Drosophila melanogaster: one gene and its partners. The protein of the gene in region 4 purifies or fractionates together with the protein of the main gene of each other region. This does not show direct contact. Each region holds a gene or a part of one and is shown on either strand. Other genes may lie near its edges.

Evidence for each region.
Region 1: the proteins of CG5506 (region 4) and CG32473 purify together in Drosophila melanogaster (affinity purification with mass spectrometry, with the first as the bait; one large-scale study listed by BioGRID). This does not show direct contact.
Region 2: the proteins of CG5506 (region 4) and CG31198 purify together in Drosophila melanogaster (affinity purification with mass spectrometry, with the first as the bait; one large-scale study listed by BioGRID). This does not show direct contact.
Region 3: the proteins of CG5506 (region 4) and CG31343 purify together in Drosophila melanogaster (affinity purification with mass spectrometry, with the first as the bait; one large-scale study listed by BioGRID). This does not show direct contact.

What each region holds. Positions count from the first base shown.
Region 1 is NT_033777.3:13,301,136-13,308,771, reverse strand, and holds the start of CG32473 (uncharacterized protein), read right to left. Parts: upstream 4,009-7,636; 5' UTR 3,702-4,008; intron 277-3,701; 5' UTR 184-276; coding exon 1-183. Other genes in the region: CG43208 (uncharacterized protein), read right to left, coding at 5,021-5,214, 5,280-5,307; CG8774 (uncharacterized protein), read right to left, coding at 6,541-7,216, 7,298-7,636.
Region 2 is NT_033777.3:21,752,232-21,760,656, reverse strand, and holds CG31198 (uncharacterized protein), read right to left. Parts: upstream 6,334-8,425; 5' UTR 6,252-6,333; intron 6,097-6,251; 5' UTR 6,089-6,096; coding exon 5,400-6,088; intron 5,256-5,399; coding exon 4,539-5,255; intron 4,480-4,538; coding exon 3,364-4,479; intron 3,306-3,363; coding exon 3,005-3,305; 3' UTR 2,899-3,004; downstream 1-2,898. Other genes in the region: CG31233 (uncharacterized protein), read right to left, coding at 7,483-8,425.
Region 3 is NT_033777.3:21,741,143-21,750,209, reverse strand, and holds CG31343 (uncharacterized protein), read right to left. Parts: upstream 4,945-9,067; 5' UTR 4,906-4,944; coding exon 4,355-4,905; intron 4,025-4,354; coding exon 3,869-4,024; intron 3,737-3,868; coding exon 3,023-3,736; intron 2,821-3,022; coding exon 1,593-2,820; intron 1,523-1,592; coding exon 1,286-1,522; 3' UTR 1,207-1,285; downstream 1-1,206. Other genes in the region: CG31233 (uncharacterized protein), read right to left, coding at 1-220; CG5849 (uncharacterized protein), read right to left, coding at 5,851-6,162, 6,223-7,468, 7,544-7,782, 7,851-8,325, 8,385-8,543.
Region 4 is NT_037436.4:17,882,179-17,888,072, forward strand, and holds CG5506 (uncharacterized protein), read right to left. Parts: upstream 2,199-5,894; 5' UTR 2,168-2,198; coding exon 2,101-2,167; intron 2,034-2,100; coding exon 1,558-2,033; 3' UTR 1,471-1,557; downstream 1-1,470. Other genes in the region: CG7408 (uncharacterized protein), read left to right, coding at 1-435; CG16775 (uncharacterized protein), read right to left, coding at 3,888-4,463.

The DNA of each region.
Region 1 (7,636 bases), on a different chromosome or scaffold from region 4:
CTTGCCGACGTAGACGAGGGCGCCCAGCAGGAAGCCGCAGAGGACTAGCAGAAAGACGCAGAATGCGGCGAGGGTCAGGATCGTGTTGCTGCGGGCCTTGTGGGGCCGATTGGTGTCCTTGATCCGGTGATTGTCGTCTGTGGAGAGACTGCTGCGCGGGCGTACGTTTTTCGCTGCATACATGACTTTTAGTTTCTTTCCTTCTTAATTGTACTATTTTTTTGCTGTTTCTAGTCCTATATTACTGGGCTCGGTGCGTTCAACAACAGTAAATCACTGGAAAACATTATTAAATGTCACGATCGGTAAGCTTCACTCTAACAGTAGTTTTTTCGGCCAACTATGGGGCTGTCCCACAACGCCATAACTTCATACAATCTATTGTGTCATCGGCGGGGTAATTCGAGAGCATCATAAAAGTCGCGTACTGAATTACATGCGTCTCCGCTGCCATCATCAGTTTTTTCTGTTTTAATAATCTCCGAGCTGCTTATAAACAAACCCGGGCTTATGGACCCGGCTTTTATGGAGGTGCCAGGTGAAGGAGGCGGGGCAGCACAGCTTCCGTCACATTTCACTCTATCTCCAGGTGGAGATTGCCTCAATTTCGACTCGCTGCAGATCAATCAGATGCCTGTTATTTTTGTCCCCCAGTCCCCTCCAACGGTCACGTAATGAAGTTGGTCATTTTGTGAAATTGTTACTACAAATACTCGAAGCCATTTTTTAGTTTGGTTTATAAAGTTGGTGTTGGAACTGGGCTGGCTAACCGCAAGAGTTGCAATTCGAATCCCCGGGTTTGTTGCAATGATACGACTTTCTATGGAGGCGTCTCTACACAATAACGCTAAGAAATTCAGTAGCATACAATACTTTTATAACATCTCAATTTTATGTCTCTCTAGATAGTCAATGATGATTACTTAATAGCATTTTTTTAATCATAGTGTATAGTTTTTCTCGCTGTGTACGATTGATTGACGGATCACAAAAGGTTGTTGGCTTTTTGCCTGTCAATTTACGGAGTCTGTTGCACAAATCTCCGCAGGTTGTGCGATGGCAAGAAATTACAGATGCCATTATTAGCATTGGAAATGAATTGAGTTGCCCGCAGAGTCATGATCCACGGCTTGCTTTTCGAAAATGATGTCAGGATATAGGAGTATTAAGCCAAAAAAAAAAGAACAATACGCGATGCAGCTGAAGTATCACACGGATCACCATTCACTCGGAATTGTGCGAATTGAGGAATTCGAGGCTGCAGAATATGCTAATTTTCACCAGCCGGCAGGCAATTGTCTCTGATACACATGGTATAATACGTATACGCCCCCTTGCATCTTCCGCGGATGATGTAATGCTGACTCAATTAGGGAGCGCACATCGCACAAAGCCACCGCACATCGGAGTCAACAAAATTGCATGACTACCACCTTATGAGCGCCGGAAAAAAAGCAACCAGAAGATCTGCAGACAATGGTTGGTATATACATATGTACCATATGAGTTCATATATCTCCGACTTCCAACAGCCAATCGGACACGCCCCATTGCACAGATGTGAATATCTCGGCATTCTGAAGCCGATGAAGCGATGATCGCGGGGGCACAAGCCATAACATAACAGTTCTCATACTTCGCTAATGAGTCGCATAAATTTCACTACTTTGTAGATCGAGTCGAAAGCACACAGAAAAAAAAAACTAATGCGCAATACAGCAGCTTAAAAAGGAATTAATCTAAACATTATTTGATATAAGAAACGTGGATCATTTCTTATGCTAAACAGTAACAATTTGTGTTGTCAGATAAATTCAGATTCAGATCATTCAGATAAATATCCCTGTTTGTCACTCCATTATATGTTTGTTTACTTCAGAGCAGAGATGCTTTTAAATTTTGGAATTCGAAACTGAAAGCTTACATTTGAAACACGTTCTTCGGGCTTTTTAAGGTCATAACTTTCACAATAAACACAAAGTTATACGTGACAAGTGCGCCCCAGAAACACCCAAAAACTCAAAGTGAATCCCAGACATGGAAGAAATACTACCCATAACACCCGCGGTGGGATGAAATTGACAATGGTCGACTATACGTGCCTGCAATTTATGATATACACAAAGGGAAAATTCAAATAAAAACAATAAATAAAAGGAAGATGCGTTGACAAAGAAATGATTGCCACAATTTGCATGTTTGGGGTTAACGGAATGCGAAATAAATTTACTATTAATCAATGGGTTGCATCACTTTCAACACAAATAAACTATAAAATCGGAGAGGAAACTTCGGCCTTGACTTGCTTAATTTAATGCTATAGATTTCATGATATACACTTTATAAATAACTTCAATATTGGAAAATAGGAAACTCGAAACCATGCGATATTTACAAATATTTATGTAAGCTTTATCAACAGTTCATTGAAATATAAATAAATAAATATTTTATAAATAGAAGATCAATGAAATTGTTTATATTTCAGCATGTAGATCAATGAACTTCAAGGTGTTAAATTGTATAATTTACACACCGCCAAAGGTGTCAAGTGCCTTATCAATTCTGCCAACAACAGCCGTTAATTTACATTATTAGCACAAAAATCCAATTAAAAAGCCCTCCACTTTCGAAGGTTCTTTCCCACCGTTTGGAAATAAAAAAATTTCTATTTCGCCCAAGAAGAACGAAAAAGAAATCAGTGTCAATGAAAATGAAAAAAAGGTTTGACCACCGAGCTTTGACTGAACTTTCAAGAACAAAACAAACCCAGGAAACACAGCGAGAAACGGGTAGGGGAAGCTACTATGACAACAAGTTTCTTGGCAGTCAATGATGTCGACCCATTTTGTTGCGGCTTTTTGAAGAAAGTATTTTCTCAGCGGCCATTGAGTATTTGCCGCATTGAAGATGTAAACACGACGCATTTGCTGGCCAACAACCACAGATACACAGCAAAAAAAATCATAAGCAAATGATTACCAACAAAATCGAAGATACAAATTGAAGATCTAATGAAGAAGTAAAATGTCTAATTGCCGTAATTGTATTTATATATACAATTTATAATATTGATAATATTGATAATTAAAAAAACTGTGATATTAATTTTTCTTATAATCAGATTGGTAACAATTGTTGATAAATGTCAAAGAATGCAACTACGAACAGAATCTACTTCTCGTTGATAAGAGACATACCAATATAATCTGATAATGGGCTACGATAGATATAATTCTTTTCTTTTTTTTTTTGCTGTGCATCGATTGTGGCCGATTTAAGGCCAAGAACTTGCGCGGCAAGTGAACTATGTATGCATTTGGCTCCAAGCCTGTTTGCAGCGGTCCCAAAGGGGTGTGGGAAAGAAGGAGGGGAGGGGAAGGGAGCGGTGCAACCTGTTTGATTCAGCCATGTGGAGTTCTCTTGGCCAGCCTGCGATGGCCCGTTGTTTATCGAAACGAATACCCGTTGAAAGTCAAAGTTGGCATAGAATCCGGTGGTCACATTTCAGCGAATATTAAAAATAGTGATCGCCTCAATGCGCCCAATTAAAACTAGAATTTTGATCGCATAACGGCGATGCGGTGACAATGGTCATTTTGTATTGGCGTGGAGCTTTTGGAGCGGACTCAACGGTATCTGATTGATATGGGCCACTTATTATCTATTATTCCCGTCACATTTCGCACTATGCCTTTTACTTGATTTACAGTTGAAATCACAGCTTTTCGTGTCTCGTTTTTCGTTTTTCTTTTGTCTACGAATGGCATTAATTGTAACTTTGCCGGGTCCGAGGAATATTCACTCGGCTAATTTGATAACGGCAATTGCCGGACAGCTATCATTCTTGATTCAAATCGTAGGCGCGCACTCGAGAAATCCGAGAAAACGAAGAAAAGCGAAAAGAAAGGGGAATCGCGAGAATCGTAATTGAGATCGTATTTGCAGACGGAGTCCGCTCTTTTCTATCGCGACCGTCGCGCTCTGCTCTGAACTTCCGACTGAAGCGGGCTCCAAAGTTGTCACGGCACTCGAGCTTCTCCGGAAAGCTCTCTCATCAGCTGAGACCGGCTTTTTTATGGCCCCAACATGCGATGATCTCCAATGCATTGGGGGTATTCACAAGTGTGCTTGCAATCGTACTAGTTGCGGACAGTGCACTAGATACGATCTTAGCTACATAAATAGTACGATATAATAAAGATACCTGACATCTTAGTCTAGACATGCTAACAAAATGTTTGTCATCGCAAGATATACCTTAAAATTACTCACCTATCTACTCCATCGGCATTCGTGTAGTTGCTGATGTAGCTGCCCACCAGACTGCTCAGATCGCAGTCGAAACTTGCGGACAGTGTGTAGGCCTTGTTCATACTGAGGACCTCTCTTAGCGTGATCAGGAGCAGCTCCCGGGACTCATCCAAGTTGATGCTATCGATGGCCACGCGTATGCGCGCCATCATGTTCAGGATGCTGATGCTGTGCACATTGAGCTCCTTGGCGTGCAGGACGATCAGGTTGGTGATCGCGTTCAGCTGGAACTGAATGGACACGGTTCCCTCACAGGCGCCGGTCGTCAAGTCGGGATGGTAGTACACCTTGTACTTGATGGGCGTCAGTTCCGTGGGCAGGCGCCATTCGATCTGCGGGGTCGTAAAGTTTATTTAATATCCACGCCATCGATAATGGGCTTTGGCCCTATTAAGTGAGCAATGCGTTGATAAGGTGGCGATAGGAAATAGCACTGTTGTGGTCAGGTCGTAAACCAAGTGGACGTCGTTGCAACAAATATGCCTTAGCTGGATATAGTGGCTAAATGTTGTGAAATTAGGGTCCTAATTTATTAGGTGCAATTTCAGATATCAAACAACAATAGCTCTACTACACAAATATTGAAACCTAAGCGTATTTTGGTTTCTTATCCGTTTGCCTTTATTGCTTTATTGCTTTAACCATTTTTGGAAATAGATATGGATTTGAAAGCCATCTTTTTGAATGTTTGCCAGCACCCTAATTCTTATGAATTTCTTTCCGAAATGGTGGACAACAAGTGGCTTTGAATGTATTCCTCCAGAACATCCAACATCCTTTTGGCTTCGTCCAACTGCAGCAATAAATTATCCCTGTGGACGGCCACAATGACAAGGGCAACGATCAAGCAGGTCGATAATAGACCAAAGAATATAGCCACGCGCTCAGCGGTGATCAAGTCTATGAAAATATACATGAATCGGTATCGGTGTTTTCCCAAAACTTCCTTCGTTATCAATAAATACCCTTAATCCTGTCCTGCATGTGTCCCATTTTTGTGGCTCCTAACACTGCGTTAGCCGCAATTAAACTAACTTAAAAGACCCAAGAAATTAGACCCGTTTTGTATTATGATAAAAAAGAGGAAAAAAAACGCTAGCCAAGCGATAAGCACTTGAAATGACCAGTAAGACTAAGTTGGAACTTAATAAATTCGAAATTAGTAGCCATGCCGACTTTACGTCTAATCGCTGAAAATTTTCCCACTCTGTGTGAGGGTTTTTCTGAACTAACATCTTTTATAGCCGTGAAATATATTTTTCTTGCACTTCACTCACCTTTTCAGGATCAGGAAGTCCTGTCGGCAATGTCGGATAGATGGGATTGGTGGTGCTTCCTGTACTGGATGATGGCGAAGTTTCACCACCCGGAGATGTTCCTGCACTGGGGGTTGTGTCACCTCCTACGCCAGGTGTGGTGGTAGAGCCAGGCTCGGTGTCATCCGTGGGCCCATTGGGATTTGCAGTGGTGGTGGTCGTGGAAGTGCTGGTAGAGGTGGAGGACGTGGACGTGGTGTCCACCGTCAATGCGTCGATCTTATCGAGGGCATCCTGCAGATCGTTCTCCAGGTCCGCATTCTGAACGGCCAGCACAATCGTGGCCACACAAAAAGCAGTAGAGGCCAGGCCCAAAAAGATGGCCACTGACTTAACCGTCAGCCCTAAAATGAGTTCACATTAGTTACTGTTCCTTCGGGATATGCTACTCTATATAGAAGACTCACAGGCAACCATTTTTAGGGATATTCTTTTTTCGATGAAAATTACTCGACTGCTTCCACTAGGCTGGAAGCCAAATTGGAAACTGAATGCAAGTTGCGAATCTGACCCCACAATTTGGACTTGATAAACCTGATCAGATTGCTGACCGATATCTAGACTATATACTATATAGCTTCGTGTCCAGATAAAATCGTTTTATGCTAGACCATTACTTTTACGATTCGAACAAGGCCATATATCGACTATTATGACTGGACACTCTAATTACTCAGGATAATTACGCATGGTCATGATTCCGCATTGACCATATACTCAAAGACCCTATCTCCAATTATTTCCTAGAAGCTATAGAAATCCCCACTTGCCTCGGATAAAATGAATGAAAATATGGGGGTTGTATTTATGGTTTGATTTTGAAATTTCATTTTATTGAACTCGAACGGAATTTTCGCTTATGCAACTCTAATTATTGGCTAAATGGCCAGTTTATATACAATATACAATTTTACAATTGGTTTTTCTTGGTCAGCGGCGAGGCCGTTCCACTTAGCCAGTCGGTGATGTCAGCTTCGTTTCTGGATAGCCATTCGATGTTGTACTTGATGGTTTCCACGGCCTCCAACCGGGAGTTAGCTCCAGCTCCCGATTCGGGGTACTTGGAGAAGAAGTGCTGAACCTCCTCCAGTTTCACGGAGCTGGCAAAGTTGGCCGTAATCTGGGCGATAAGTCGTCCAAAGTTGCGGTTGTTCAGGCCAAAACGGGTGGTGAGTTGGGGCCACTGTTCGCGGTAGAATTCCCAGACCACCGGTTCACCCACAGGATTGGCGGCTATGTACTGCACACAGGTGAAATAGTCCTGGGAGCGAACGATGCTCTCATCACTGGAGGCCTGTGCCAGGAAGTCGAACAGATACTGGCTGTTCCGTACGCCAGACAATCCGTACATCAGCTTCAGTTTCTCGCTGGCATCGGTTTCGGCCACAAAGAGTTGGAACAACTGATCCCAGCTCGATTGGCTGGTGGACTGCTGCATGCCGTAGTAGTAGACAATCTCGCGAAGATCGGGGGAAGGTCGAGTGGTCGGATTCTCCAGGAAGGTGCTGAAGCGCTCGGAAGCCTGCTGCAGACAATCTGGAACACCCAGGGCACAGGCGGCGGTCAAAATGGAAACACGCAGGCGGCTGCAAAGGAATAAAGATTGTTTGAATAACAGTAGTTTGAGTAATGTTTTCAGAAAAACAAGTTGGTACTTATATACGTACTTCTTCAAGTGATTGTCGGCGTCCACAGTCCAACCCACCTCCTCGTATACGCCAGCGATCAGACTTCTGGCATAGGTGAGGTACGACACGTATCCCTCGCTGAACATGAGACTGCGATGGAGCGACCTCAGCTTATTGGAGGCCACATACCAGGGCACGAAGTCGCGCTCCTGGGCCAAGTAAGCGGTCATATCCAGAGGAATTTTGTAGGATAGTTGGTTGGCATCCGCCAGGGCGAAGGCATCGTTCAAAAGATGGCCACGATCGGCGATTTCGAATCGAGCGGGACTGGTGGTTAGCTGCTGGATGAGCAGGGCCCACAGGCTCTCCTCGTAGTTA
Region 2 (8,425 bases), on a different chromosome or scaffold from region 4:
CTTTGTTAAGGAGGAATCGCGACTGCTCCACAGTAACGACCTTGTTACCCTGTAAAGCCTTTACAATTATCATGGGATAACCAACCTGCTCGGTGTAATCGGTAAGAAAGTCAACCAGATCCACATCCTGATTCTTTGGCCAATGCTCGAAGAGATGGTAAAATAAGTTATAAGGTACTGTATTGGTCAAGTGGCTGGAAAAAGAATGATAATTGTATAATTCCCTTATCAAAATTAAGAACCTCTTCACTAAATATAGGTTATGACACCTTCAAGATAAATGTTTTCGCCTCTAACCAAAAATATACCTTACTTACTATTGCTGCAGGTAACTCCTGATGGCTGTGTCAAAGTTTTCGGCTCCCATGAGATTTCGCCACATCCTTACAATGCAAGCTCCCTTGGCATAGGCGATCCCGCTGAACTTGTAGGCAATCTGGGAGGGTGTTTGAATCTCCGACTCCGGACTTGTCATGGGTTGAGTGCCGTTCTGGGCATCCGTTCCAAATATCAGCTGCATTTGGCGCACCACAAACTGCTCGTCCAAGTGATAATCTGGATAGAGCTGAATCGATTATGTAACAATACTGGCAAAAATATGTATTCGAATTCTCATCCTACCTGATGAGCCATGAAGTACTCGTAGTAGCGGGCAAAGGCCTCATTGAGCCAAAAGTAGCTCCACCAGGAGAAGGTCACGCTATCCCCGAACCACATGTGTGAGGTCTCATGGGCGATGATGCGTATGGCGAACTCCTTATCCGACCAATCATCCGAGTATCCAGGTTCCTGTATAAGGACATCGTCGCTTTAAAGTAACAACAAAACATAATGAAATCATATTCTATATTTTACTTTCGTTTATATGTATATTTGGCAATACTTTTCGTACTCACCTGTAGATTATGAGGCCCCAGTTTTCCATGCCGTTGTGCGGGAACCTGGGCGAACTGGCATACTGCAGCACATCGTTGCCCAGTTCAGCATATGGACTCTGGAACAACTCCCCGTATGCTGAAACCACCTGCTGACCCACATGGTAGCTGAACTCTGTGTTATCATAAAACTCCGGACGAGTGAGCACTGCGAACTCACTCTCATTTCCACGTGCAGAATAATTGGCCACCATGAAGGCCAGCAGATATGTGGACATTACAGGGGTCTCCTTGAAGTGATCGACAAAACGATCTTGGCTGAAATCATGGAAAAACGGTGATTAGTTAACATTATTTATTTTATATTATATAAAGTGTAATGTACCTTAAAGCTTTAGTTTCTTTTAGCTTGGTGTTGGCAATCGACTGATACCCGTTGGGCCGAACAATCTGCAGTTGGAACTGTGCCTTCAGGGCGGGCTCATCGAAGCAGGGCAGGACCAAACGGGCGTTGATGCGCTGCATCTGGGTGAGAGCCAACCACCTGGTCACATTGGTATCCCTCTCCACATAGCTGGCGGAGAAGAAGCCGGCCATATCCGTTCGTATGTGCCCGGTGTACTTGAACCCGAGCGTATAATTTTTGCCTGGCTGCGCGGCCTCCGTCAGCGGAACTCTCACCTGTTGGGTGGCGGCCTCATAAATCAACCTGCTGATATCGATGGCCTCCACCTGCGCACCTGCCGCATCCAAAAGCCAACATTCCGTAATGTCGAGCGTATCAGCGTGTAGAATGATTTGTTGCACCTCCAAAGTTCCGACCACCCGCAAGGTAATGCTCACTTCGCCATCGAAAATAGTGGGCTCGACTGAGTTCCGCAAAACACCGATGGTCAGGTTGTAGTGCGATGGTACGACGCTACCTTCCAGTCGATAATCAGCGGCATTCGTGACACAGATCAGCAGTGAACAAAGTAGCCAAAAGGCCCGAAATATCGAACTGCTCATGGCGACCGAAACTCGATTACTGGAGCGTTGGATTCGGACACACTCTTGTAGATCGCCGGAATCAGAATCAGAAAATCAAATAAAAGTCCCCCCCGCAAAACAGGTGTCGTTCGCAGGTGATTAGATAGCGGAATATTCAACAATAATACAAGATGTCGTCACACTTCTCTCACTGAAATATTCTTATCAGCGTGCCATTGGGCATTTATTAAATGCTAAATGGAATGCCAATTATCATTTTAATTGCCAACGACAGCTGCTTAATGAGTTTTAGTCAGGAAAGCTATTGGTGTTTTGAAAATTATTTTTAAAAGATAATATTGTACATTCTCCTTAAAATATTTGTCATACCATTATTAGTGATTTGTATAGATTAAACTCTAAAAAAAAGTCCCTCTGCTATCCATTCACCATTATGGTGGAAAGTCCAATGCGGCACTCAATACTACAATTGATAAGATGCGATAAGGATTATGTTTTCGATTGGGTTCCACGAAAAGTGAATCAACTTAGTTAGCCAGAATAGGTGGTAAGATCGATATCTGCAAGACAATATTGTAAAAGAGCTAGCAATAAAGATAGTAATTTATTACTTATGTCGGTCAGTTTAAGTTTCAGCGATATTCCTTGTCTTTTTTTTTAATTGCATCAAAATTAAAGCACACAAATTAAAAAAAAAAACCCTAATGGCTTAATATGGTTTGATTTATTACGCGCCAGACTTAAATTAATGGCTAATACAATCTAATAAAAAATAAATAAAACACCTTTTCGCCGGAAATTTCGGTAAAACTTAAAAAAAAATCGTTTATTGCCCTTCAACAAATTTATGGCCAAATAGTGATCGATTGAACCGTAGTTTTATAAAATCCCCTCAAGATCCCGAACTGAATCACCCGGCAATATTGTCGCTAATCAGATTGTAAATTAATTGTCGCCATGGGTGTCATTTAAGCCCATTTCATGATCGATTTTGCTAGCACGAGTAATAATAAACTAAAACAGCGGCTTATCTACAAAAAGGTGTTACTTTATTGGGTGCTCTTGCGTACAAATACTTTATGGCCTAAGGAGCACTCGTGACTCGATCGCACCTGACTCCAGTAGGAGCTAATCCCTGCTTAGTTACGCAGCATGGTGACCAGGGCCACCATCAAAAGGCTGATGGCGCTGAAGGCGTTGACCATGGCGCTTCCACTACGATAGTTGGCCAGATAGCTGCGGAAAACGCCCAGCTTGGCCGTAGCCCACTCCAAGTTCTCCTTAACGGTTGCCTCGGCGGCGGTCAAAGTGGCCTGCGAGCTGCCGAACTTGGCGCCATTAGCCTTGTTGAAGTTCTCCAGATCAGTTAACTGCTGATTTGTGGTGAAACGGGCGGCGATATTGGAAATCACCGTGGCCACAGCGGAGTAGCCGCCCATGCTGCAGAAAGAAGTGAATTATAAAATGCAAGCCAAACCAAATAATAGGATATACTTACGCCTCAGCCAATTCCTCGTATTTCTGAGTGACCAGTGCAAACACCGGACTGACATTCTCGTTGTTCTCCGTGTAGAGAGTGGCCAGCACGGATGACTTGTCCTGTCGTCGAATCTCATCGCTGATGATCAGATCGAACACCTTCTCGATTAGAGACTGGGTCTTGACGCAACCGAATGAGTTCTGCAGCAGGGTCTCCTCGGTGGCCACGGTCTCGTTCTTGAACTTGTTGTAAAGAGCCTGGAACTCGGCCTCACCACCTTCACGCAGACCCACGCAGTAGACAGTGGCGCGTATGTTCTTGGGCACGGTGGCCAACGATTGGAAGTAGCCCTGGGCCTGGCTGATGCAATCGGAGCTGCCATAGCGACAGGCCCAGGAGAGGATCTTAGTGCGTAGGTAAATGTCCAAGGCTGTATCATTCGATGCTTCATTGAAGCCCAGCTGATTGTAGGCCTTGTTGGTCAGGGTCTGGATATAGTAATTGAAATCGGCCGTGTCGTTTCCGAGGCGGATAGTCAAGTAGTTGAAGCCGTTGAAGGCGGATGTCCAGGGGATGTAGTTGGTCTCCGTCTGCAAATACTCGATCACATCCAAGGTAAGGTTGTAGGTAACATATCCAGCCCTGGCCAGATTGAACAGATCATCCACGATCTGGGCGCGATTGTTCTCGTGAATTCCTCCCCAGTTGGCTGTGATCAGAGCGTGGTGGATGGCATGCCAATTGTCGTCGGAGTAGGTGACACGGTAATATCCGGTCTGCTGAATATTGACCACAATCCATTTTATTGTTGAGTTGAATTGAACCGTCGTAGTTACGTTGGGTTTCAGAATAAACTTTGGCGTGGTGTTCAAAAAGTTATTTGTCTCACTGGTAGTGTAGGAAATGGGCACAGTATATTTCAAAGATGAGTCGGATCCATCGCTCTCCTTCAGCAGGAAACGCTTCTGCGTGAAGCTGACCTGACTGTTGCCAACAGTTACATTGATCAGTGGATAGCCCACCTGCTCGGTGAAGCTCTTGAATATATCTTTGGAGCTTTCATTGTAACTGGAGTTGGGCCAATTGGCTTGCCAGGCTCCCAAGAGATATTCAGGCAAAGACGACTGATACTCGCTGTAAGCAAGAAAAACCCTTGAAATACAAGTCACATATTTAATTTCCCCACTACTCACTATTTCTTCAGGTATTCCTGCAGGGACTTCTGGAATTGTTGCTCGCCCATGGTGTGCTTGATCATACGGATGAAGGTGGCTCCCTTGTTGTAGGAGATGCTGTTAAACATGCGGCTCAGATGGGCGGGCGTGTAGGTGTTCTCATCGCTCAGCGGATTGGTGGCATTGGTCGAGTCCATGGCCATGACCGACTGCACCTGGTCAACCACAAACTGCTTCTCCAGCTCCCATTTGTCCTCGACCATGGCGGTGCCGAAGTATTGGAAATAGCGAGCGAATCCCTCGTTAAGCCAGGTGTAGCTCCACCACTTGCAGGTGACCAGATCGCCGAACCACATGTGCGCCTGTTCGTGAGCCACCACGGCGGCAATGGACTGGCGGGAGGCCAAGGTAGTAGCCGACTCGTCCACCAGCAGGGAACGCTCCCTGTAGGTCAACAGACCCCAGTTCTCCATTGCTCCGGCCGAGAAATCCGGAATGGCGGCCATATCCATCTTGTCGTTGCCCATAGAGTAGTAGTCCTTATCCAGGTACTGGCCCATCTCCTCCAAAATCTGGATACCCACATTGTAGGGGTACTGGGTCTGAGCATAGTACTCGGGACGTGCGTAAACTCCGAAATCGTCATCCTTACGGGCCACGAACTCGGAAATTATGAAAGCCAGCAGATAGGTGGACATTTTGGGCGTCGTCTTGTACACGTCCGAGAAAATACCTCTAATAATTGGGTGAAATAAAACATAATATTCAGATCAAGAAATAACAACTTTCTCGTTAATCGATTAAATTCTCACTAGATAGTTGAATTTCTTAACCAATGGAAGGCTTACAGATTAACAATAAAGTGGTGGAAGTTCTTACTCTTCAGTGCTGGGATACGATGAGATCAGACGGGTGTTACTGACCGAGTTGAAGGTCCTGTGTCGCTTCAGCGTGACATCGAAGGTGGCCTTGAACTGGGGCTCATCAAAGCTGGGGAAGGCGCGACGAGCGTGATGGGTTTGGAATTGGGTGGATCCCAGCCACTTGGTAACATTGTTATCGTCCACATAGGAGCTGCGATAGAAACCGTGCATATCGTCCTCCATCAGACCGGTGTACACGAAATGCAGTATATATGTCGTATTGGCGGTCAAAGCAGTTGACGCCGTCAGCTTTACAATATCCGTATCATAGTTCGTTGTATTGGTGGCACTAATTTGGATGACCGTAGGATTGGCCACTTCGGTGGTTGGCTTTTGCCAGTATTCCCTGACCGAATATGTGAGGTTTTTCGAGTGCAGATAGATGTCGTTGGTGGTCTGGTTGGAAATCACCTCGATCCAAACCTCGCCATCGAAGGTGAACCTCTTGTTGCCATCGGTCTCCAGCAAATAGGGACGCAGCGTAATGTTGTAGTTAACCGGCGTGATGTGCTCGGCCAGGCGGTATTCATTTAGCTCGGTGGCGAGCGTCGCCGGCGGCTGGACATCCACAGACAGTTGCCGAGTTCCTGCCGAGGCCAAGGACACACAGGCCACCAGGAGAACAGCCACTCGCGGGGCAAACATTCTTCCTACTAATGAAATATCAAAAGGGATACAAATTAAAAACTTAATTAATCGCATCGCTAGTACGTGTCTAGTAATTTAAAGTTTTTTTTTTCACTTTTATAAGGATTGTTCCAATTTTACTTGAAAAATCCCCATTTATATAAGCACTTATTAAACTCACTTTTCAAGGGTTCGATCGCGAACCTCGGACTAGAATTAGTATTTCGCACGCCACTCGGCCAGCGATTCGATTCGAAAACTAAGTGAGTTTTGGCTTTGGGCCCGGTATATATGGTGAATGTAAACCATTTTGCGACTTTGCTAGTATCAGCGGCTTATCTGCAAACTTTAACGTTTTATTTCGGCCCAGATAAAGTTCGCCTGGTCTATAGATTAAGCTGCGATAGCGATAAGGGGTCGTGATTTACACACTCCGCCATTGGCTACCAATCCAAGCTGACAATATTTTTTTGAAGATTGCCAGACGATGGCATAACATTTGCTGTCCGTTGCACTGCTTCTTTGAGACTTTATGGTGCATTGCACCCAATCTTATCGAGCGTGATTTGCAGTCTTCCAAAGGGGAAAGCTTTTAACTGCCAAGTTGTTGCTAATGTTGGTTGATTACAAGATACTTCGTAAATAATGAAACAAACATGAATAGGTTTGTCTGAATTTTTTATATGAGCATCCAAAGAATTGTCGGTCCGTACATTTTACCTTGTATTCGTTTGGATTAACTAACGCTATCGCAAAATGGCTTATCAACATATGAACCACATTATGTTAAGTGTATTGTACTCTTAAAGGAACTTCTTCCTGCTATGAAGCATTTAATGAGTATTATTGATTGATTAGTGGCCAAAGCAAATCAAAAATTGACGGCAAACGCTTATTTACGGCACAATAGAGTATCAAAGCTATTGAAAAAACACATTTGTCAAGCATATGAATGATAAACAAGAAAATATATCTGCACACCGCCCCCAGTAGTTTGTTAAATTTGCAAAAACCGCCGATTATAAAACTGTATCCACCAAGTTATTAAAGTCATAAAAACCCCTCAAGAAATTTCAGTCTTTGTTTAATTCCTTTTATTATATTTATATTCGACCATTTGTGAAACTAAAGGCTAACATGATTTCGTTCACACTTATGAAATTAGTTGCCAAGGCTGATTACCCATGTATTTATGGCTCAACTGTGGTCGTAAGAACAGAGTTTTTTACTTTTCAAAAGAGGAAATTTATGAAATACTCACGCTTATCTGACCACTTCGATCTGGCAATTCACGACCATAAACCTATGAAGGGAATTGTAAATTCCCAGCAAAAGCAAACAATAGTTTTAGGAAATTAATGGAATTTATTGGGCGCACAATGGAAATCTATAACTAACTTAGGATCTACGTTTTAGAATAGCTTGGCGGCCAGAAGGCAGGCAAGGATTGCCAAAATGGAGGCGTTCAGGGCGGAGCTGCCGCTGCGGAATCCGGCGACCCAGGTCATCAGGGGATCCCTGTTGGAAGCCAGCCACGCGTAGTTGGCATTCACGTTGCTATCCACGCTATCCTGCAGAGTGCTGGGCACATACTCAGAACCCTTGACAGTGTCCACCAACTCTTGCAAGGCATCCTTCTGCTTGTCGTTGACGGTATAGGCGGAAATACCCACAATGTCGCTGTACAGAGGATTTACGCCACCAAAGCCGGAATTTAGCTGACCATACTTTTCCCAGTTCTTCTGCAGGAACTCAATGGCGACCAGCAGACCCACCTCGCCGCGGGAGTAGACCGGACTCAGCACCGTGATCCTTTCCTGATCCCTCAAACCCTCTGGCTCAATGCTGCTGTACACGAACTTCTCTAGCTGGGCAGTGTTCTGGGAGCAGCCCAGGGCGGAGATCAGAAGACGACGCTCGGCCTGATCGGTGGAGTTCAGCAGCTTGTTGAACACAAAGTCAAAGGTTTTGTCATCGGCCTGCTTCAGGCCGTTGCAGTACACCTGCGACTGTAGATTCGGCTCGATCTTAGTTCCCTCCTCCACGAGAGCCGTCAACTTGGCCGTGGTCTCCGTCAGACAATTCTCCAGACCCGCCAGACAAGCAAGGTTAATTAGCACATTGCGGGTGAATGGTACCAAATGGTGGTCACCTTTGTTATCATTCACTCCGAACTTGTCGAACTGCAGGCTCACCAGTTCACGGACGTAGAACTGGAAGTTGCCATAATCCGCATCTCCGCTCAGGTAGCGGTTGAGCAGGGTAATCACTGTGTTGGTAGCGGACCAGGGAGAGTACTGATCCTCCTGGGGCAAGTAGGTCAACAGCTCCAGCAAAGTGGCATGGGGCACACGG
Region 3 (9,067 bases), on a different chromosome or scaffold from region 4:
TTGTGCTCAAGGACACGGCATAATGACTCGGGATCGTATCGTAGGGCAGACGGTAGTTATCCTCGTCGGCGAGAGGAACCACCAATCGCTGCATGGGATTCTCCAGATGTTGCAGGTGATCAAGGATCGGATATTGGCGAACCACAGCCGCCTGGGTGGCGGAAATGGCCAGCAAAAGGACCAAGAATACTGACATGCCCCCGACCTGAACGCAACTCATGGCGAAAAACGCGGAAAGACTAAACTGCCAAAGTTCGGGGAGCCACTTTTAAGCGAGGCAGTCCATCTTATCTGGGAGCAGACATAAAGATTACCCCAATCTTGTTACCCAGAATGACCGTTACCAGCCAAGAACTGTGGTATAAACTCCATTGGGTAGTAAATCAAGTATGGTACTAGCCTTTGATGAATTTGTATTTTCTGCAGGGTTAGTAACAATCACGTCTAAGATAATGTCGAATAAGTGTGGGCATTTCAAGATAGACGCCCTGATAAAAATCTCAAGTGCACTGACCTTGATCTGATTGTTTAGCTGATTATAAAAGAATTGTTTCTCTCACCTCTAAAAATTATTTAACACTATTACTATAATTAATGAAAAGGAATGACAGCATATTATCTAATTATGAAAACAGCAATAATTTCTATACGAAACAAGATCTTGAACAATAATAATTGAAACTGAAGTTCTCGTGTACTTATCATATGTGCTGATATGATAGCGAAATATACACGCCTGTTAACTATTATGGTATAATAGACTGTTCAAGTTCGCTCTTGAGATAAGAAAAGGCCCATTAATCCATACGGAATTACTAAGCAATATGTGCGATACTATGCAACAGCTAGACATCTTCTAATAAATGGTAAAACCATTGAAATTGATTAAGAAACTGAAAACCATAAAATGGCTTATTGTTCTTGAAAGTTGCCAATCACAATCTGATATGATCACGTGAACTTCATAAACCATTCAGGCCATTGTAAATATCCACTTGATAATCGAATTTCGTACTAAGCTCAACTATCAGTGCTTTATCGATGCCATTCCTAGAATCGCGATTAGATTGACCAATGCAAATGTGTGTCAACCAAGCTATAAACCGATCAGTTAAGTTTCCCAACCGCGGAACTTTGAACTTTTCTCACCAGGGGACTCCATTCAGCCCGAAAATTCCACAGTATAATCAGTTCTATTTTCGATCTATGATGAGCACACAATCTTTATTGTTGATTTACGTCACTTTACTGAATTTATGTTTAATACTTGACCACGTGAGTTATCTTAATATAGCCTGAATAGCAACAGAGCCATCGCACTGACCAGGATCGTGGTGATGGATGAGGTCAGAGAGGGACTGCCGTTCTCTTTTAAGGAATCCTCGATCCAGTTGAGCACTGGATCACGATTAACTTCCAACCAAGCGAAGTTGGATGTGATTCTGGAGTCAATGGTGGTGCTCAGATCATCATTGATATAACTCGGTCCATCAGCCTCCACAACATCCACCAAAGCGTTAAGCTGTCATATAATTAATAAATAGTAAATTAAAAGTCTGCTTTGAATTATAAATTAAAAAAAAAAAACGTACCCTCGTCTTTTGCTTCTCACTGACCACATAGGTGGCAATGCCACGCAGGGCAGCATCCAGGGGCTTTGCAGAGTCTGAAAGGTTGGCATATGCCTCCCAGTTGCTCTCCAGGAATTCCAAACTAGCGGTAAGACCGATTTCACTGCGGGAATAGGCCGAGTTTAGAAGGGAAGTGCGCTCCGAGTAGCTCAAGCTATTGTTGGTGTCCAGGGATAGTCTCAAGAAATCAAGCAGCTGGCTCGTACTTCCAGAGCAGCCCAACGAGGAGATGAACAGGCTGCGATCGGTGGAATCTGAGGAACTGAGCAAATCGGACTGCACTCTGCTATAGATTTCATTGGTAGTCGATCGGAGACCAGCACAGTAGGCTTGAGTCTTTAGAGTGGCCTCAATGGCTGTGCCATTGTATAGGTACTCGGATAATTTATTGGCCGACTGGTTATAGCAATCATCGGATCCCACCTGGCAGGCCAAGCTGACCAGCACGATGCGCAGATAGTTGTTCAGATAATGCTCGCCGGGAATCTCGTTTACACCGATTTTATCGAAGATGGGATCGATCAGGCGCTTCACGAAATCTTGGAAGTTGTAGTAAGAATCATCGCCACGCAAGTAACGATCGTAGACGGTCAGAATAGTGTTGGCAGTGGACCAAGGAGCATACTGCTGCTCATTAGTCAGGTAACCCAGCAGCTCCAGCAGGATGCTGTGGCTCAGGCGATCGGTGCTGACAAAGATGTACGTATCGTACAGCAGTTGTGCCCTGTTACGAGGATGGAACCTCCAGGGCTGAGACTTCAGAGCTGCCGTAATTAGACCATAGTTCTGCGTATCGTACAGGGTGCGGTAATAGCCGGAGTTCTGGATATTCACGATTATCCAGTCATCGCTGGAAGCCTCGACATCTGAGATCACGGTCTCCGTCACATTTAGCAAGTAATGTGTGGCGCTCGTGTCACGATAATCGTACTTGTTGGCAGTGGCAAAGTTAAGTGGCACATACCAAGTTGCGCTATTTGTATCAGTTTTGTTCGCCACATAACGCTTCTGGGTGATCGTTATAGTGCCGGCATTGTAATTACGGGTCACTGTGAGCAGGGGATAACCAGCCTGGTGGGACCAGCTACTGAAGATGTCGTCCACACTGGCGGGCAGCGTAAAGCCCAGCTCGTCGGCCGATTCCTGGAAGGACGCAAATAGATCCCATTCGTCGCAAGATGTATATTGGCTGAGCGAAACAAAATAATTCCAATGTGAGATTACTGTTCAAATTAAAATGAGGGCTCTTAAGCCCAGTATATACGAGTATATCATAAAGTTAGCTTTTTAAGTTCTTGAAATATTTTAGATCTTTTGATTAATCAAAATTCTATACTCTATACATTAGAAGTTCATATATTAGGTCATTTAAGTAATGGCTTGGTACTCACTTCTTGGTCAGGTATTTGTTCAATCCAGTGCGGAATACCTTGTCCGTCCAAGCGTTCTTGAACATGTACAGAACACTGGCGGGCTTGGCGTACGAGAAGGTGTTATACCTGTTGGAGATCTCCGATGGTGTCTGAACGTAGTGCGTCATGGGAACGGCCGAGGCCAGGGCGTCGTTAAGCAGAGCGCTGTTGTAGTCGTTCACGTGGAAGATCTGATAGGTGTCCCACAGTGGGAAAGCAATGTCGTTCGATTCGTACGAGAAGAGAGTAGCAAAGCCCTCCTTGAGCCACAGATAGGTCCACCATTTGATAGATACCAAATCGCCGAACCACATGTGCGCGTACTCGTGTCCAATAATATTGGCAATGTTCGTCTTCAGGTTGATCGTGGAGTTCTGCTTGTTCCACCACATGTACTGCTCACGATAGGTGGCCAGACCCCAGTTCTCCATGGCACCGGCAGAGAAGTCCGGTATTCCAGCTTGATCTAGCTTGGGCAGGGCGAAGGGAACCCCAAAGTAGCTAGCCAGACTGGACTCCACAAGCAATCCGGACCAAAGGGCCCATTCCTGCTGATCCTGCTTTCCCTTGCGCGAGAAAACCCGCTGGCGGATGCCATTCAGTTCTCCGGTGGTGGACTCAAAATCGGAGACGATGAAGGCCACCAGGTAGGTGGACATCTTTGGCGTCGTCTGGAAAGCAGTGACTCCCGAGCTGGAAGGCGAAACCGTCAGTATGTTAGCATTTCTTACATGAAAAGTATCGATTGCAATTGTATCTAGCATTGTCAACACTGCGAATGAGTAATGTTTCCTCTATGCTTGTATATATATTCGTAAATCATACCTGGTGGCAGCGGTGTTTACTGGCATATTGCTGATGGCAGTGTAGGAGGGATCATGGTGGATGGTAATCGTAAAGTTAGCTCTACGGGCAGGCTCATCGTAACAGGGAAACGCGTGACGGGCGTTTGTGCTCTCGAATTGCGTGGTGGCCAAGAAGCTGAAAGAAATTGTTATATACATTAACGACTCAGTTAAACCGATAATTAATCTTTATTTGGTAAGCGCGTATCATCGTACTAATAACAGATTATAAAGATAAGCCAAATTGTGTCTCTTGATAAGAAATGAAACTAGCCGCAAGTACTCAATCAGGTACAATTGTAATTAATAGCACGATAAGCTTTTGTACTTTTGCAATTTATTCCCTCATCCATTAGAAGGCTAACCTAAGTATAATTTTCTATAAAGGTAAAAGGGTAAAGGCTGTGCAAGCTCATAATAAAATAATGGTATTATTTTGTATAGTCTTCGTAAAATATCAACTTACTGCTGTTCGCCATCATCGTCCGTATAACTGGAGATATAGAAACCGCCCATATCAGATCGGTGGATGCCAGTGTAGTTGATGGTGATGGTCCAGTTGGTGTTGGCTCCAAATGCCTCACCAGCGGTGGTCTGCGTAAGGACGAGGAATTCGCGCTGCAACTCGGGGGTTACAGTGAGTGGAATTGCCGTGGGCGTGGCCACATCCCGGCTGATAATCGTCGCTTCAAAATTCGACGTCTGGCGATAGTGAAGCGTAATATTCGATGTCTCGTTCAAAACCCGGATATCGATATTGACGGTGCCATTGAATTCGGTATCGCCATTATGGACATTGGTCCAGAGTTCCACGTTGTAGGACTCCGGTTCCGTTGTATTTGGCAGTCGGTAATTGCCGGCACTATTATCATCCACGCGGGAGGTGGCAAAGAGGGCTGCTCCCTTGGTCTCCAGCTGTCCATCGTCCAGGGATAAGGGAAGGATCAGGCGCGCCTGTAGGCTGCACACTGCCAGGAGCAGGATCAGCGAAAACGAGTTAAGCAGCCACCGTGCCATGTTGGCTGCTCGGTAAAAGACACTTTGTTATTGAGCGGCCGCCGCTTGAACACGGCATTTTTATGGACTTGGCCATATCTAATCCTCAACATCGATCGCCATAAAGATTGTTGCGCAATTCTCGATAAAACGTGGCAAAGCCACGGTTATTGGCCCAGAGTGCACTGGGACAAGTCAAATGTGAAGTATGATTGGGCTGTAAAACAATTAGTCTACGAGAGTTTTGAAGATGGTACTCTATAGTGTAAAAAATCCCCTCGGTAACATTTTAATTATTCAGTAGCGTAACGCTTATCAAAATAAAGCAGGATAACATTACTTTTTTGTTAATCAAATTCCTATTATTAGTTTCATCATTAGGAGCAGTAAATTTTTGAATTATGGCTTCGTCTGGGACGACTAAGTATTTGAAAGTACGAAAAAATGCAAGTTGTTATAGTGCTATAATCAAAACAGTCATAAATACTCGTGAAAAACGCTAATAAGTATCAATTAATTTTACGAGGTGCTACATTTTAAATATATCAAATTTGTATGCTTTAATATTCAGTAATCATTGTACAAAAACTAACAAACTTAAGTAATGGCTTTGTTCAGTTTTGTATATTTTTATACGACTTATTGAATGTCCAAAATTGTTATAAATTTTTCAAATTGCTTTTTAATGGCCAGAAATACCCAGAAATAATTACTAGTCTTTGCGTAAAAAAGTTATAGTCATTTGATCGGGTTTTTATTATCGATGACTTTTGTGTTTTATACTTGCTTATCAATTCCCCACGGAGGCGTTTCAGACAAATCGATAACGTCTGTAGTTAATTTAGAATGTGTTGAAAAGCTCTTGGCTGTTGAATGAATTGACTCGATTGTTTTGTTTTGAAAAAAATTAATTTATTCGTAATTAAGCCTGTACTTATGTGATACCTAGTTAGACCAAATGTCTGGTCACCTATACATATCTACTATTCGTAACGCACTGCGCAACACCCTAGTCGCCTCCTTTAGGACTCCTTGAGGACGACTTGACCCATTGGCCGCGCTGAGGGAGGCGGACAAAAGGGCATCACTTCTGCTGGTCGCCTGAGGAAGCTCATTGAGCAGCCATTTGTGGATCTGCTGCTCGAACTTGTCCTGGAAATTTTCGGTGATTTTCATCTTTTTGCCCACCAGCGGAGAATCGACCTCGATCAGCGTTTGGTTCGTATTAAGACCCTCCTGCATCATGTGGTTCGCAATTGTCTGGCGTAGCCTCTCAAACTGAAAAGAGATATGTGTGAACAAAACGAGTAGGATATGAAATAGATATAAACTCATTACATGTGATCTCTGATGTCTGGGCACAAATCCAGCGAGCTGTTTAAAGTGCTCTAAAAAGTTTGGTGCTCGACAGAGCACCTTGTAGTTGCGCTCGATATACTGCCAGATGACCGGACGAGAGGCCAGATTCGACTTGTATATGTAGAGGAGATACATCAAATCTTCGAATTCGGAAAGGACCATATGGGTGGAGTTTTCACCCATCAGACCTTCCAGATAGTATAACAGATGCCGATGACTCTGCGTGCACCGGAGGGCATATATAATGTCATCATAGTATACCGAAGCTCGATCTATTTCCTGCATCATATCAATTATCCTTTGGAAGTCCTGATCGCTTAGATACCGAACTCCCATGCATAACACGGAATCGATTATGGCATGGTAGTCTGATCCATCTTTAAAATAAATTTTATCGATTATATGCTCCTTAGCCAGGCGACGTGTGTATTCCAGGCACTCGGGAAGATCCGCAGAGCAGGCGATTTCTAGAATCCCACGGAACATCCCATCTTCAGCTAAATTTACACCTTGTTCCACGTAAACTCGTCGAAAAGTCGGGCCAACCAGGCGGCGTACAAACTCATTGAAGAGGCTCTGGGAGGAGGTGCCATGCAAGTTTCGTGTTAGACACTCTATCGTATCTTGCAACTGATTCCAAGTCAGCACATCCTCCTCAAGCTCAAGGTACTTTAGCAACTCGAACACTACTTCCACTTGCTCGATTTCATTATGTTCGATCAGGGGACCCAGATCTCGAAAGAGACCAAGTCGATTTATTGGATGGATGACCGAGTGATTCGTCTGCAGCTGCCTGGCAATGGCCATTAGATTATCTGTATCGTAGCGGACGAGATAGAAACCGGTGTGCTGCTTATTCACCATTATCCAATCCCTGCCGCTGACATGGATATTCAGATCCTCCAGTGATACCGTATACTGTGGTTGGGGTGGCATAAACATATCCACTTGGGTGTCCTCGAAGTTGGGCGACTGTGTGGTGGCAAAATTTATTGGTATCCACCATAGCTCATCCTTCATGTGAACTGATCGCTGGGTAAACGTGATGGTGTTGTTCTCGTAGTTCCGAGTGACCACCAAAATGGGCAACCATTCGCTATGCGTCCACGAGAGCATAATCTCCCTTATCCGGGACGCCCATGGCTGATGCGAAAAGTACTCGTCATCCTGGAGCTCCGAATGCAGGGCATCGAAGAGGTTCAGCTCATTGGCCACGCTATAACGACTGGGCGAAAGAGCAGAGCACCTTGACCCATGAATTCCAATTGACCAGTTCGAGAGGTGATTTTCAAAAACTTACTATTTCTCCAGAAAGTGACTGATACCACGCACGAAGAGCTTCTGACGAAAGGCGTGATGAAACATCTTGATCACGCATGCACCTCGCTTATAGGAGATAATGTCGAATACACCCATGATGTCCTTTTCACCCTCGACGTAATGGGACATTGGATGGACATCAAAGAAGCTGTTGTAGCTGTATGCACTATCTGCCTCATGGGTCATAAACATGTCCATCATTTTGTCATTGGGGTATATCTGAAAGGAAACGGGAAAGTTGTATGAAAAAGGAAAGTAACCTATTATAACCATTATTCGTTACTAACCAAATCAGTTATCACATAGCTAAAATAAGTGGCGAATCCCTCATTCATCCAAGTGTATGTCCACCACTCCGGGGACACCAAGTTGCCGAACCACTGGTGTGCGATCTCGTGGTTCTGGGTGATCAAGTCCAACTTTCGTTTCTGTCCATCCGACGAAATGTTTTTAAGCAAGTTAACGTCCTTATAAGTGATTAGACCCCAGTTCTCCATGGCTGCTCCATAGTTCTTCTTAAGCGCCACGTGATCCAGTTTTGGCAAAGGATAGGAAACCCCGAAGTAGTCCTCGAGTGCAGCCACTGTTCGCACAGCATTTTTCAGTGCAACTTGACCTTTTTCCTTGGAAGTTGGCGAGGTATAGATGCTTTGAGTGATCCCACGATAAGTCTCAGATATGCTTCCAAAATCGGAGATGACAAAAGCCACAAGGTAGGTTGAAATCGGTGGGGTTGTGTGAAATGAAGTGGTTTTCAAGTCACTACAAATATATATAAGAGGTTAATATTTATGGAAAAATATATAAGCATATGAACTTACCCGTGAGCTAGTACTTCCTTCACTGGCATATTGGATATGGCGGAATGACTACTACCGTGGGTAATTTTAATGCTAAAGTTTGACTTAAAGCCCGGCTCATCGTAGCAGGGAAATATTAGACGACCATATGTTGGCTCACATTGCGTGGCGGCTACGTATCTGTAAGATTAAAATTGAATTGGGTCAATGGGTCTGCGAGTAAAATGAAATCATAACATGAATAGAAATTATAGCATACGTCCAAGTACTATAGTACGTGTTGCCAAGAGTAATTAGCGTCTGCTGTCCGGATAGAAATTATAATTAAAACAAAATCGCTTCAGTCCAAAATTCCCAATCCCATTTTCAGATCATTGAACGCTTAACAAAAAAAAAAAAACCAGTCACAGCCTGCGGCTGCCGGAATGATCGATCACATGGAGAACCTGCTCTCACTTCCACGGAACAATCGAGGCTCGTTATTTTCAACCGAAAGTCGTGGGTCATGCGAATATGTTGCTCAATCTGAATCAAAACAAATCCAGGCGCTCTAAAACACATACTGCCGTATCAAACACTGTCGGTTTATGTTGTCGTTTCACTATCAACCGCGCACTGATAAGATGCGACTCCTTATTGCTGACACAGTCATTCCCCTTTATAAAGAATCCCCCCATTGAGAAAGCCCATTGCGCACATCGTCA
Region 4 (5,894 bases):
GAAGAACTCGTTCGGAATACCAGTGTCTGGCTGCAGTTGCAGCAGGTGTCATTCGGAGAGCGCAACATCAGCGAACTAAGAGATCAGAGCAGGATCGAATGCCCAGATCCTGCGACAGGAGTCAAGCCCTGCTTGCCTCTCGAGGGACCCTGTCTCTTCGATATTGAGGCTGATCCCTGCGAGCGGAGCAACCTATATGCGGAGTATCAAAACTCGACAATCTTTCTGGATCTTTGGTCGCGAATCCAGCAATTTGCCAAACAGGCACATCCTCCCAATAACAAGCCGGGGGATCCCAATTGCGATCCACGATTTTACCATAATGAGTGGACTTGGTGGCAGGACGAGAAGGCTTCCAGTTCAGGGACTATCGGGGTAATGAAAGTCTTTACCCTGTTAGTGGTATTCATCTTCACGAGCAGTTGTATTAATTAAATGAAAATTCTTATGTAGGTTAAATATTTAATGATCTTGTTAGCAAAGTTGGCATGTATTCAAAAAATTAATAAAAACTTCGTCTAAGGAAAATAGACAATTTTATATTTTATTATTTAACCAATTGGCTTGTGGCCGTAACTCATAGTAAACCGATAGCTTTTCTGCAACAAATGCGATAATTTATGACTTCAATTCTACCTATCAATAACCATTTCTGAGTACTGTCCAATTTGATCCGGTGTCAAAAGGCCAATCTCCCTTTTTATCTAATCGATTACTTCTGCGAAAACTGATAGTTGCAAAACCCCCTTCAAATTAAATTAAAGCACAGCCAAATAGCTTTCTGCCAATCAAAGTGGCTTACATAGTATTTAACCAAAATAGTTTACGACACTGAAATCAAGGCAAGATCTTTGGTTACAGATTAAATACCATAATCAATCAACTGTTCTATCTATCAAAAAAGACATTATGGACTTACTTTGTTCGTCAAAATGAACTAAGAGTAAAAAAAACGTACGAAAGTTAAAACCTTTAAAATGTATATACATTTTCTTGTCCATAGCAGCATGTAGAACAGAAAATTACGATGAGTTCATAATAAAATATGAATTTAAAAGAAATTTCGAGTTAAGAAATAGTTGTCCTTCCAAAAAGGCATTTTTAAAAAATTACCAATCTCAATTTTCGCTTTAGGCATAAAGTTTTATTTTAATGGCAGTTTTATTTTTATTTTATTTTAATTTTTCTATAAATGTCATGGAATATAAATATGATATAAAAATTGTTGGGGACGAATTAATAATTTTGATGTGAAAGGAGACGTCTTTCTTTGCCAGAAATATGAATGTATTAAGAAATTTGTGAAAAACATCATCTGCCTGAGAATCATATTTTATAAAACTAGTCTGTTTATAAAAATTAAGTGTTTCAAAGTCAATCCATTTACTGAACTATATATGTTAATAAGATTTGATGCATATCAAAAAATTGAATAAGTGCGATTCCGTGAATTACAAAATAAATATAATTACTTGAAATAAATTATGTTTTATTTATTTTTTAAGGGAGCCGGGATATCAAAGGAACTTAATTCAGACAAAGATCTAGTAGTAGAATTTAGTAGTATGTTCCATTGCCTTTAGGCTGGGCCACCAGAACTTCATATTTGTCGAACTTTCGCAGGGCCAAGCTCTCGTGCTTGATGATGCACACCTTCTGGCTGCTAAGGAGCAGGGTGCCGATTAGGATGCCTCCATCGGTCTTAGCACGGCAGCAGAACACCCGCTCATTTTTGACCGTCGTGCCCACGGCAACGGCTCCCTTTTCATAGAATCCATCGAAGCTCCTGACCCACACGTAATTTACATCCCGCTCAGCCACTAGGATGTCGTAGACGAGGAGCTTCGAGGATGTGGTTTCCGTATTGAAGTAAGCAGTACCAGTTTCCGCAACAACTCGAGCCGGCAGGATGCTATTGGAGTACTTAACACGACCAACATAGGTGGTAAATCCGTAGGGATCGAAGCCACCCACAACGGCATTATAGGGAATAACGTAGGACAGGTTACCAGCCTTCCACACGTGCTCGGTATCTGTTCGAAATGGCTATGTTAATTGGATTCAGTTAACCCTCTATATTATATTATTATTGGTTCTCACCATAAGTCGAGGGAACCGCGTAGGCAACTGCAAACAGGGCCAAAACTACACAGACAAGTTTGTACATCTTGACGGACTGCTGGATTCACTTTGAGTGTCTGGCCAGTGACTTAACTGCTTTTATAGTCGTCTTCTTATCTTTCGACTCCAATTACACTTATCGCTATCAAAAGATTGGTATTGATAGCATCTGTTTCGGTGACTAACGCATCGTTGTTTTATTGCACCCTTTCAAAGTAAGAGAAATTTAAAGAAAAAATCCCCCTAAGTCATTTCATAATATTGAGCTATAACTTAGTTGTTAAACATAAAATGATTTAAAATATATTTAATTAGGAACTTTAATATATTTATTTTGTTGTTTGTTCATACAATGAGCAACTAAAAACTTTTGTTTTAAAACCAATATTAGTAAAGAGCATAGCCATCGAAATATCCCTCTCGTTTGAATCAAAAAAAAGTTTGTATGCTCTTCAAGTTGGTCAAAATTAGTCTGATATAAATAAACTAAAAATTATAAGTTTTACTTTAATATATTTTGAATAAAACAATATTAGAGAACAATTTTTTTTAATTTCCCATGACATACAGGTTTTACAAGACGAAAGATCGTGTCATACAATCAACATTTTCCCCTATGGAATATCTTATATCGCACTTCTTTAATATATAATAAAATTTTAAGTTGGTATATATTTCAATTAGCTTAGTGAAATATTCATGTAATTTCCTTTCCTTATATAAAAATCAAAGTTGTCATCTTATCTAACATGATAAATCAATTAAGAACGCAAAAGACTATTTTCTGATAAAGAGTTATAGATTTTATTTGCTTGCATTCAGTATACATACAATGTATTTACAGAGCGAATGGCATGAACGAAGCCACTTGGCGTTGCCTGATCAGTATCTCGTACTTGTATTACTCGTACTCGTATTTGAGAATGCACCCTCTTTTCGAAGGCTACAGCGTTTCTATGAAGACGCCTTCAGCGCAAAGTTAGCCTCGTCCGTGTTGAAGTGGGCCCTAACCAATTCCGGGACCATTCGGGCAGGCAGGACATTATTGAGGACATTATAGTACACACGGCCGACGTAGTTCATGTAGCCAGCACTGCTTCGTCCAGCAGATCCTTCGTCCTGTCGGCAAGGATCTATTTGTCTTCACTGCTATATACTGCTCCCCTGATAAGGGTCACCAAATGAACTAGGACTACGGCCACAATTATCAAGCCCTTGTAGCAGTACATTCTTGAACTGTTGACTAGGAAGATATCTTGAAGTGACTAGAATCTGCAAGTCTGATATCAACTTTCTAGCTTTTATAGTTCCCGAGATTACCATGTTCATACAGACAAACGTACGGACAGTCGGATATGGCTTGAATGACCCGTCTAGTGATCCTGATCGAAACTATATATACTTTGTTGGGTTGAAAAAGCTTCCATCCACTTGTTATATCATTGTCAATCAATCAAAATCAAGTAAATGCGTTTACTCTACGAGTATAATTAAGTAATTAATTTAACAAAGGAATAAATAGTTACAGTTACAAAAAAATTGAAAATAGGAATTCACATAATTTCTTCTTTGGATTTATCAAAAACTTAAACACAGTTATTCTGTTTTTCTACCTCTTTTAAATTAAGAAAAAAGAATAGGAAACTTTGCTTTTATATTAATTATTTTTATTAATTCAAAGTCATTAAATAAATTGAAAGGAATTGTTTTTTTTTAATAAATATTTTGTATTTATATTTTATTCTATTTATTTTGTTGCTCAGCATTTAATGGTGGATATAACCATCAACAAATGGCGAGACGGCAGCTACATGGCGTTCGCGGACAAGGATCTCGTACTTGTCGAACTGCCGGAGCGGAAAGTTGTCGTACTTGACGATGCACATCCGCTTGGAAAGGTACAGAGTGCCGATAAAGATGGATTCATCACAGCGGACACGACAGATGAAGACACGCTCGCTGAGGGCGTTGGTTCCCACAGATACGGCGTTCTTTTCCCGGAAACCATCGAAACTACGGATCCAATGGTAGCCGACAGTGGCGTTGGACACCAGAACCTCGTAGGTGGTGGCTTGGTTGCCCAAGGTGTCGGTGTTGTAGGTGGCCTTTCCCAGCTCCGGTACCACTCGGGCTGGCAGAATGTTACTGCTGTATGTGACACGACCCACGTAGGTGTAGTAACCATCGGGATCGACGCCACCGAGAATCGCTTCCTCTGGAAGGTCCAGGGTCTTGTCCAGGTACACCCACTTGTCCTCATAGCTGTAGACTCCTCCGTGGATTTGAGCCACCATCTGGACGAGGACTACGGCCACAATTGCAGAACTCTTGGCTGAGAACATGATTCGATTGTTGAGAGGCGGGGTGTTGTGGACATTTCGAGCTGCTAACATCTTTTATAGGTCTTTCTTATCTATAGATTGATAGTAAATCATTCTTCGAGGAGTAACTTTGTGATTAGATTGTTAGTAACTTTTTTAGATCGGTGATTAACAATTAAAGTTCTGTGGTCAGTTACAGGGAAGATCTTTAAACTTTTGCAAAACCCCCGCTAAAAAATTTCCCCTAAAAATAGACCGAATTCACTAGTGATCCTGACCAAAGACTCTTATAGGGCTGAAAATGATTTACTCAACCAGTTAAATTATTTTAAACAAATGTGGTGGTACACCGTCTTACTCAATGAGTAACTTCCTAAATTGTGTACATTAAATTGTGTATTCAAGGAAAACAGCTTTTCAGTAGCTTGCTTTAGATGAAACCTATTTAAATGATGTTTTCCACTCTATTATCTACGTATATCGCTTAAACGGAAATCTAATTTTTCAGAATAAAGTTCTTGGCGAAATGGTTTAATTTAATCGTATCCGAAAAATAAAGAGTGGTTTTTATTTAGCAAGTTCTAATATGTTAAATATTTATGTGAATTGGCCAACCTTCCAAAATTGGCACGCATATGGGTAAGGCCAAAATCGTCAGGCCAAATCAAAGGCAGGAATACTAATCAACTCAATTGGTGATATTCAAACCAGTTTGTGGGTTTATCAACATAGCCGTCTTATCAAAGAACGTGGTACAAGAACCCTGACCTAAGTCAACTATCGTAATAATACAGCTTAAAACAAAACTTGGCTCATATTTTTCTCGCAATCTTACTCGATCCCTTCAAAAGTTCGTTAAACTTTGAATTGTGCCTTTGCAAAAGACACATTTTGGTTTTGCTGTTATGGCGGTTGGTTTTGCTTTTGCACGATTATTTCTGTTGCTGTTTTATAGCAGTAAGCTATAACTTTTACTACTATTTTTCGCGCACGCTTCGTGACGTCACAGTCGTCGGAGTCGGCGAAAACGTTGTCCACTTTAAAAGCGCCAAAATCCAGCGAAGCGTTTAGTCGAGTGGAGAAGTCGCTGGGAGAAGGATCGTCGACGATCACATTTCATCGCTGAACCATTCAGCTAAAATCCGCTGATTTAAGTGTTTAAAATTTAGTGTAAGATGCTAAGACAGTTGAAAAACCCCGCGTTCGGAAAGTTCAAGTATTCTTTTTAATTAATAGGATTAAAATAAGTAAATGTGATCACACCAAGTGCAGTGATTTATGCAAGATCATTTTTTAAGTCGAACACCGTAATCTTAATAATAACTAATAATATTTACAATAGTTTAAAGTTTTTATTTATACTCATTGCAAAGCATCAACTAATTATATATACGACATTTCATTTAGCATTGAGCTCTGAACCAGTTTTTTTTTTCTAATATGGTAATCACA